2 linked regions of the Bombyx mori genome follow. The protein of the gene in region 1 purifies or fractionates together with the protein of each later gene. This does not show direct contact. Links are inferred from orthologs where the notes say so. Each region holds a gene or a part of one and is shown in the gene's direction. Other genes may lie near its edges. The genes, in order: bone morphogenetic protein receptor type-1B and protein mothers against dpp.

Region 1 (3,936 bases):
GTTCGGGTGTTAAGTGGTTACCGGAGCCCATAGACATCTACAACGTAAATGCCGCAACCCACCTTGAGATATGAGTTCTAAGGTCTCGGTATAGTTACAACGGCTGCATTGCCCTTCAAACCGAACGCATTACTGCTTCACGGCAGAAATTGGCGGGGTGGTGGTACCTACCCGTGCGGAGTCACAAGTCGTGCTACCACCAATGGATGGTATTTGCTAATAATCTCATGGATTTAAAACGTGCAGTGGAAACACCCCAGTAGCAAGTCTCGTGAGAAAATAGCCTCGCGCGTATAATAAAGTCAATACTACGCGGAATACAACTAACATTATGTCCGTTAGTGACACGACCGCTCCATCAAATCCTCCAATCATGGTTCGTATTAAACTAATGACATTACATTATTTGCAAATTGATGCTTAAAACGGTAGTCGAGAACAATGGATCTGTGGCGCGTGCAATTTGAATTCATAAGAGTGATTTACGTGCGATTTGGCAACGATCACGTGCGCGCGTTTGGTTTTATCGTTTGAAGTGGATGCGCGCCGCCTCCGTGCTCGAGATGCATTCGTTTTGCAGTGTGCTTAGTGCGAGTTTCTTAACATTCTCGATAGCATAAAAGTTAAGCCCATTTTGTATGCAATTGGAACCCCTATTTTGGCCCTATTTTGGCTAATTGGCGCCCCTAGTTACAAATGTACGCAAACGATCCCATTACATACAAATATGAGCTAACTTTTACGTTAGCGAGAACCTTAAAAAACTGGCACTAAGCACCCTGGTCTCTCTCTGACTTCGAGTAATTTACGACTTCGACGCTATCCACGACGGCCCGACCCGCACACGTGATCCCCATATGGACTCTCGCGGATGTCAATTCCGACAGGTTCGAAATAAAGCAACACGTATCAAGGGAATCAAAGAAAATGAACATCGCAACTATCGTATTAATCGATCAAAGGAAACGTTAAAGGAATAAGTCGAGAAAGCGTCGATAAATGGTAACCATAAACACGGGACCTTAACGGTCGCCCGATTAGTTGGGCCCTCGGTATAGTTTTATAGTTCACTTCTGTCTTATAACATGTGCAAGTAAGAATATTGACGTGTCGTAAACTATTAAAAGCTACAGCTACTGACAGATGTTAGATATGCAGAATCGCATAGCATTAGAATGTTATCTAGTATGTACAGTACTAATTTCCAAAAAAGCATGTGCCAAAAAAGGATAGGTACCCAAGGACCACTTCTTTCAGTTTTAAATCGATCTCAATAATTCATTCAATATCCGTAATCAATTCAACAGTTTGTGTTAATGAACCGTGTCTCCGTTGTTTATACTTGAAAAGTAGATCACATAAGCTATCGATCGGCGTATTGTATTGTCGTCAATGAATCGCATTTAAATATGTGTATCATGCGTCTGTGCGAAGTTGTATACCTATTAGTTGGGTATTATCTCGGCACGGAGCCATGTGGAGGCTGTGCAGCGAACGGTGCGGCGGTGCATAGTGCACGCGGGGAGGGGGCAGGGCTGCGGGGACGCCACTCGAGTCGAGCGCTCCGTCACTTCATTCGCGCACCACGCGTCACGCGGAGGACACGCGTCCGAATACGTTAACGTGTATCAGTGCGCGCCAACTGTTACGTATCCCGAGAAATCCGTGCGTTGTGACTGTCCAGTTTTAATCTTGGTGGTGTAAAAATAAAGTCGGCGACAGACGGCGGCGTTCCGAGTTATATTTAAATGATAGAGCGGAATCGGGACTGGGCTCGCTGCAAAACACCGACGACATGAGGCTGAGTACGTTCAACGCCTAGTATTAAACTGTATCGTAAATCTTTGCGAGGCTTGATGCCCGCAAGCCTGCATATCATGTTTCATACGACGGCTCCAAGGTTGCTGAGAATGGTGCCTCCAAAGATCTCAGATTCATAATGTAAAATAATGTTGTTTGGAAGGTGTTCCGTCGAAGTTTCAGATGAATCTTGTATAGTTTTTAGTCGGACGGCTTTCCTGCCATGGTTCCGTCTTCGGAGCGGATTTGTATAATGAAAGGATGTGCATGTTGATTCATTCATCGTTTCCTGTGTTTGTCGTAACTTTACATGCAACGTTCGGGTCTTCTAGTAAGTTTTAACTTGTAATTCCTTCGTCCTCTGGTACTGCATTATTAGGCGAGTAAAACTCAAACTCATATCCAGTCAAATGAAAAAGAAAAATACAAACACTGAGGTGAATTCTTCAAGTGGTTGTTTATGTTTTACAAATCAATCCATTTTTAAATGACACGCTTAATGATTGTAATGAAGATTTGTTTTTCTTTAATTGACCATATTTTATCGTAGATGGTTTGTCACAACAATATCATATAATCATTTTTTCGTTATAAGAAGACAAATTAGTTATTGAAGTATTTTTGATTGGACATAAAATGGGATTGTTTATTTGATCCTGCGATTGTAAAATTATTGTTCAATATTGAGTGACACACCTATCATAACTTTGATAAATATAGTTACATAGATTGTTGTATTCCAATAACAGTTAAACATATTATTTCTAATCATTTTTTTTACTTTAATATATTCTCATTGTAAATTTGAACAATAGACCTATTCCGAGCTCTCTCCAGCAAATGGTTCGGTTTTAAGATTTACCTGTTCTGATTTCATTGTTGTTCTCGGACCTTTTGTATTTATTTTCCTCAGCCAGCCCTTGTACCTGTGGCTTTTCAAAATAGGACACAAAAAAAAGCCACATAAAAAGTTTATTATTACGGTCGTAATGAAATGTTCAATCCACATTAAAATTTGTCCGGTTTAAAGTTTAAAAGAAATAAATTCAACAGAAAATCCATAGTGTCGTACAATTGAATATTGGTATAGAGTTAATTCTTTTCAACTGTCGCCACTTATTAATTTTGCGGGCTGCTCTACCAAAGATCTTTCTTTAGTCTTTAAAAATTTGGAACTAATTTCCCTACCTGAACTTTATTAATGATTTTCCACAAACGAAGTATGTGATAATTTCTCGCTTAGTATTCATCTTGCCTCTGATGTGTCATGTCCATGTCTATGCGTAGCGGCGACCTTTTCCCAACAGGTGGCAAAAGCATACGACACGATGACATGCCTTCGAAGACCATAAATAAAATATTTAGGTACAAACTTTATATAGACATGATTTTGTCGAAAACCCTGCAGTGTTCGTAAACAATGCGCAATTCCATCAAGAGGAAGGTTATATTAAAAAGAGCCCATAAGGATTGTTAATTACTTCTTGAACGAGTTCTAGGTATCGAGAGAATCACAATGTCACGGTACATTGAGTCTTTTCAATTTACGCTTTGGTCAACTGTGTATACACTTTTACAATGGAATCATTGATTACATTTCACAGCACAGACACACACACACACACACACACACACATTCAAATGCTTCAGAAATCTTTGGGTATCGTGAATTCGGAAGTTTCATTAATTATTCTTTTCCTTGACTTCTTCACTTCATCTTCTAATTTCCAGCATTTACTACCCAATACTTTAGGGTCATAATTTTGGCCATATTTGAAGAAACTATCGAGCCGACTTTTCTAGATGTTTCTGCAGCACTATTTTTTTAAAAAGAAGTCTTGAATGATCTTTAGTACTATAAAAGTATTTAGTGAATTGAAGTAATTTTGCTATTGAATGCGGAAATAAGCGAATGGTATAGTTGCTGCCACGGGCAATATTCATGATTTGGGTTTAGGGGAAATTAAAGCAGGCCATTATCATATTATACTATTATCCTTATCCCACAGGTGATGAAGTAGTAGTAGTGATTTGATTAGGAAAATAGGCGGACAGACTATTATCACGTAAGGGTCGGGATACATGAAAAATTTGGTTTAAAAATCAGTTTTTTTTTAATCTAGTTTGTTCTACTAT
Region 2 (3,936 bases), on another chromosome or scaffold:
GCAGGTAACAATCGAACTTCTGCAATCATCAATCGAACCTACACAGTCCACAGTCCAAACACAACAGTCGAGCGCACAACCTGGACAATTCGCAACCAAACCTGTTAATCGAATCGAAACAACTACAGAAAATCCAGAAAGCAAAAAATCAAATGAACATAGGCCATTCATACAAGTAACAAAATCAACAAAGAGTCCGATCGGGAGCACCCTAAAAGGATATTACCGAGAAATCAACCCTACCCAAGGCTTCGGTGATGATGTCGGGGAAAATGAAGATAAACGCAAAGGAAGATATGATTTATCTAAATTTAATCAAGGTATGATTTATTTTCGATTTATTTTTAGTACATAATGTATGTATGTCCCTATATGGTTTACTTATTTTATAAATGCCAAAGTTTGGGAGGATTAATAGATATTTGGTACTCTTTCACACAAAAACAACACGGCACGTCCTTACGGATCCACCAGATCCATTAATCTCAGCACTAGACGCCTTTAGTTCTAACACTAGGAGCAGGTTCAGGGACCCTGGAAACCGTAATCGTCGAGCTCGGCAAAGAGTTTGACGTGCAACCTAACCCATATAGGTACATATCAGCCCGCTAAGTTTCTCTTCGGCTCTTCTCAGCGGATCGTCCGATCCGGTAGTAGATTCATTGGTGAAAACTTCACTGGTTTTTAACGTGTATGCATATGATACTACTATCATGATAAAGTACTTGATCCAGGCAAGAACAAAAAAATCATTCGCTATAGTAAAGACGACCTTGTACCTATTCTCTGGTTCACGATTTTACGTAGATACCAAGGATCTACAAATAGACTGGTTATGGACGAGAAAGATTGAAAAACAACTTTTTATCTCGGGAAAATATATGAATTTTAGTATTAATGAATTAGAAATGTATCGCAGGTAAAACCGCGGTGCACGTCTAGTAAGATTTGTAATAGTAACTCGTTTGCGTTATATGTATGATAATGTTTCCAAATTCCCGCTATAAATTAATTTAAAAAAAACTTTCCCTGGCTTTCCTGAGTTTAAGACATACGAGTAATTGAAATAGCTGTTACGTTTTAATACCCCGTATTTAATTCTCAATAAATGATTAGTGACGTTTCGAATACGTAATTTTCACCCATAGTAGACCCCTAATAGACTCACTCATAATTTTAACTTTCAGCAAGTTTCGTACAGTGTGTCAGATACTACATATTATTATCATATTAAATTAAACATGTGATTAATACTTATTAAAATATAAATATAAAATAAAATCATAACCTCGTTAAATATTTTTAAGCATTGTAAATAAAGTAACCTCTACTCTGTTATGTACTAATCACGTTTTACTGATTATCAGCTCCGGCAATGCATATGGCCGTTGAAAACGAAATAACATTGAAGACTCTGATCGTCGAAGACGGATCCAAGTATGGACGCTGCTACTGTTCGTGTGACCTGAATAGCAAGCCAGTCTTCATTAGCTTGGATGGAAGTGCTTTGAAACCTAGACGATGAATCCATAGATATACCTCCTAATTAAGTCATTCTTATCCATCTATAATCCATACTAGTTACATAAATAATACAGTAATACAAATAAAACTATTATCAATTCTATATTCACCCGTACCCTAATTTAAGTACTACTATTATAAAAGCTTGTAACTAAATGATAAGCGTACTTTTTACAATGCCAAGATGTGATGTGTATCGATATAACCTTTTTAAAGAAAGAAGATCCAATACGTCTTACGCTAGTCCTTGTGGTCTAATGGATAAGATGCCCGGTACAATCATACCAACCACTACGGCTATCCGTAGCTAGGAGCTAGGAACTAGGAGCTAGGGTATAGACCTTAGGTCAAATCCCGCATGCTAGCACCAATTTTCTTAGGAAATACTTTTCAGATCTTCACGTACAACTTGCACACATACATACTCACTCGCATTTAATACCAAAATATATATTTTTTAAATAATCACGAGGCTGCGCAAATTATTATTTGAAAAAAAAAAAAAAGTTTTTTCATTTGAAATTTGTCTCTATTCATTTAGTTTACAACTTATTTAACTTTAGGCGAGTCACGAAAATCCATATTCGGAAATCTGTTTTATTTGCCTCAGTAAATTATAAAACATTCAGTATACGATGAAGAAGGTGGTTATTAGAAATAATAAGTGTATTATGTATGGTTATTAGATACACAGATTATTTTAATAGTTGTGATTAGATAATTATAAACAATACTGGGGATAAAAAGATGCCACTGCCTCAGAAGTAATAGTGTTCTGTGCCACGGCCTCCGGTGTCTACAATTATGTGTCAGTGATTCGATTATTCTGTCACTCGAATTCGATCTATCGCTAAAATTAGTTTATATAGTTTAATTCTAGTTATTAGTGACATAGAGTATGTTGCTATTCCGACAGAATATTGATGGCAACATTAACAGTAACGTCAAAAAAGGAACTGGTTAATTAACTGGCATTCTAGTTGTTGCGTTTTAAGCGTTTTATTTTTTATAATCTTGAATAAATTTTGTTATCTAAGGAACTTCTGTTGGACAGTCATTGAATTAAAAAAAAAACCGCGTTCTTGATGAATGTGTAAACAAGTGATTGAAATTGGAGGCCGTAAATCATAGTGGGCCGGACGCTTGGCAATTGTCACGCCAATCTTGTGGAGTTCGTAATTAGCCCGGGACACCGTGGGGAATACCGAATTGCTGATCGATGGTGTGTCGGTTGCCGCGGTGACTGTGGGGACGCGTGTGCCTTTGGCCGGTGACTCATAACAGGACGTAGGGATGGACACTGACGATGGCGAGTCTTCAAGTAGCGGGCCTATGTCTAGCCTTAACAGCCTATTCTCATTTACCAGTCCCGCTGTCAAAAAACTACTTGGCTGGAAACAGGTAATCAAATTTTTTAATAATTATAAAACCTATATCTCACATTGAAGTTAGGACTATTGGTATTGATATGGTATTATTTTGACTAAGCATAAATGTCTAAAAAGCGACAACTTACTAACAGAAATGAATGTACTTCTCATATCTTCTGTTAGTACAATTACAATGTCTTTATTTCAATGAGACGAGAAACAGTATTTAAATTTAGCATTTAGTTTGTATTCGGTGTTTATAACTAAACTGGCAAACGATCGGCAAGGACAGAGATCAGTGGAAAGGACTGGAGGAGGCCTTCACCGGAGGAGGGGTCCATATCCAATAACAAAAATTAACTCGTACTAACATTTAGACAAAAAGCATTAATAACTAACTAAACACTAACAAATAAATACCACATTTCAAATGAAAGTTAAGGATAAGGAAATAGGCTTTTTTTTTGTTTTTATTTTTATTTTTTATTATTTTTTTATTTTATTACCTAAACAGATGAGATGTTTTGTCAACTTCACTATAAAACATATGCCTAAGGGTTTGACTAATGCTTATTAGTGCCTACCATCGACCTAATGATCTGATTAGCATCTCTGTAGGTATTTTTGTGATATCAACCCAATGGCAATAGGGGACCTTCGATTAGCAAGTGTGATGAGGATTCTTAGTAGTGATAGAGTAACTAAGTAGGGATTGTGTGTATGTAACATATCAGTACTGCAATATTCTCTTTGCTTCCTTCTGTTTGAGATATCCACTAAAATATTAAGTATTTGTTGTATTAAAATCCATTTCGTCAAGGATTTCAATTATTATCTATAAGCTATAGTCTGACGGGTCAGATAAAATTGTGGGAAACAAATGTATTAATAAAGTAACTAAAAGTGAATAGACATTACTATTAGTATATGTAAATTGATATACTAATGACAGTTAAATGAGGTGTAAGCTAGACTGACTGCATACCTCCAGAATCTTCTGAAATCTTATTGATGAAGAGGTGCCAAAAAGTAAAGATAGGAT

Evidence for each region.
Region 2: the proteins of bone morphogenetic protein receptor type-1B (region 1) and protein mothers against dpp purify together in Drosophila melanogaster (affinity purification with western blotting; 3 studies listed by BioGRID). This does not show direct contact. The link is inferred for Bombyx mori from reciprocal best matches to the Drosophila melanogaster genes tkv and Mad.

Annotation. Positions count from the first base shown.
Region 1 is NC_085109.1:1,487,552-1,491,487, reverse strand, and holds the start of bone morphogenetic protein receptor type-1B, read left to right. Parts: upstream 1-1,429; 5' UTR 1,430-1,795; coding exon 1,796-1,805; intron 1,806-3,936.
Region 2 is NC_085118.1:1,283,338-1,287,273, reverse strand, and holds the start of protein mothers against dpp, read left to right. Parts: upstream 1-1,580; 5' UTR 1,581-2,817; coding exon 2,818-2,925; intron 2,926-3,936. Other genes in the region: pneumococcal serine-rich repeat protein-like, read left to right, coding at 1-320, 1,368-1,525.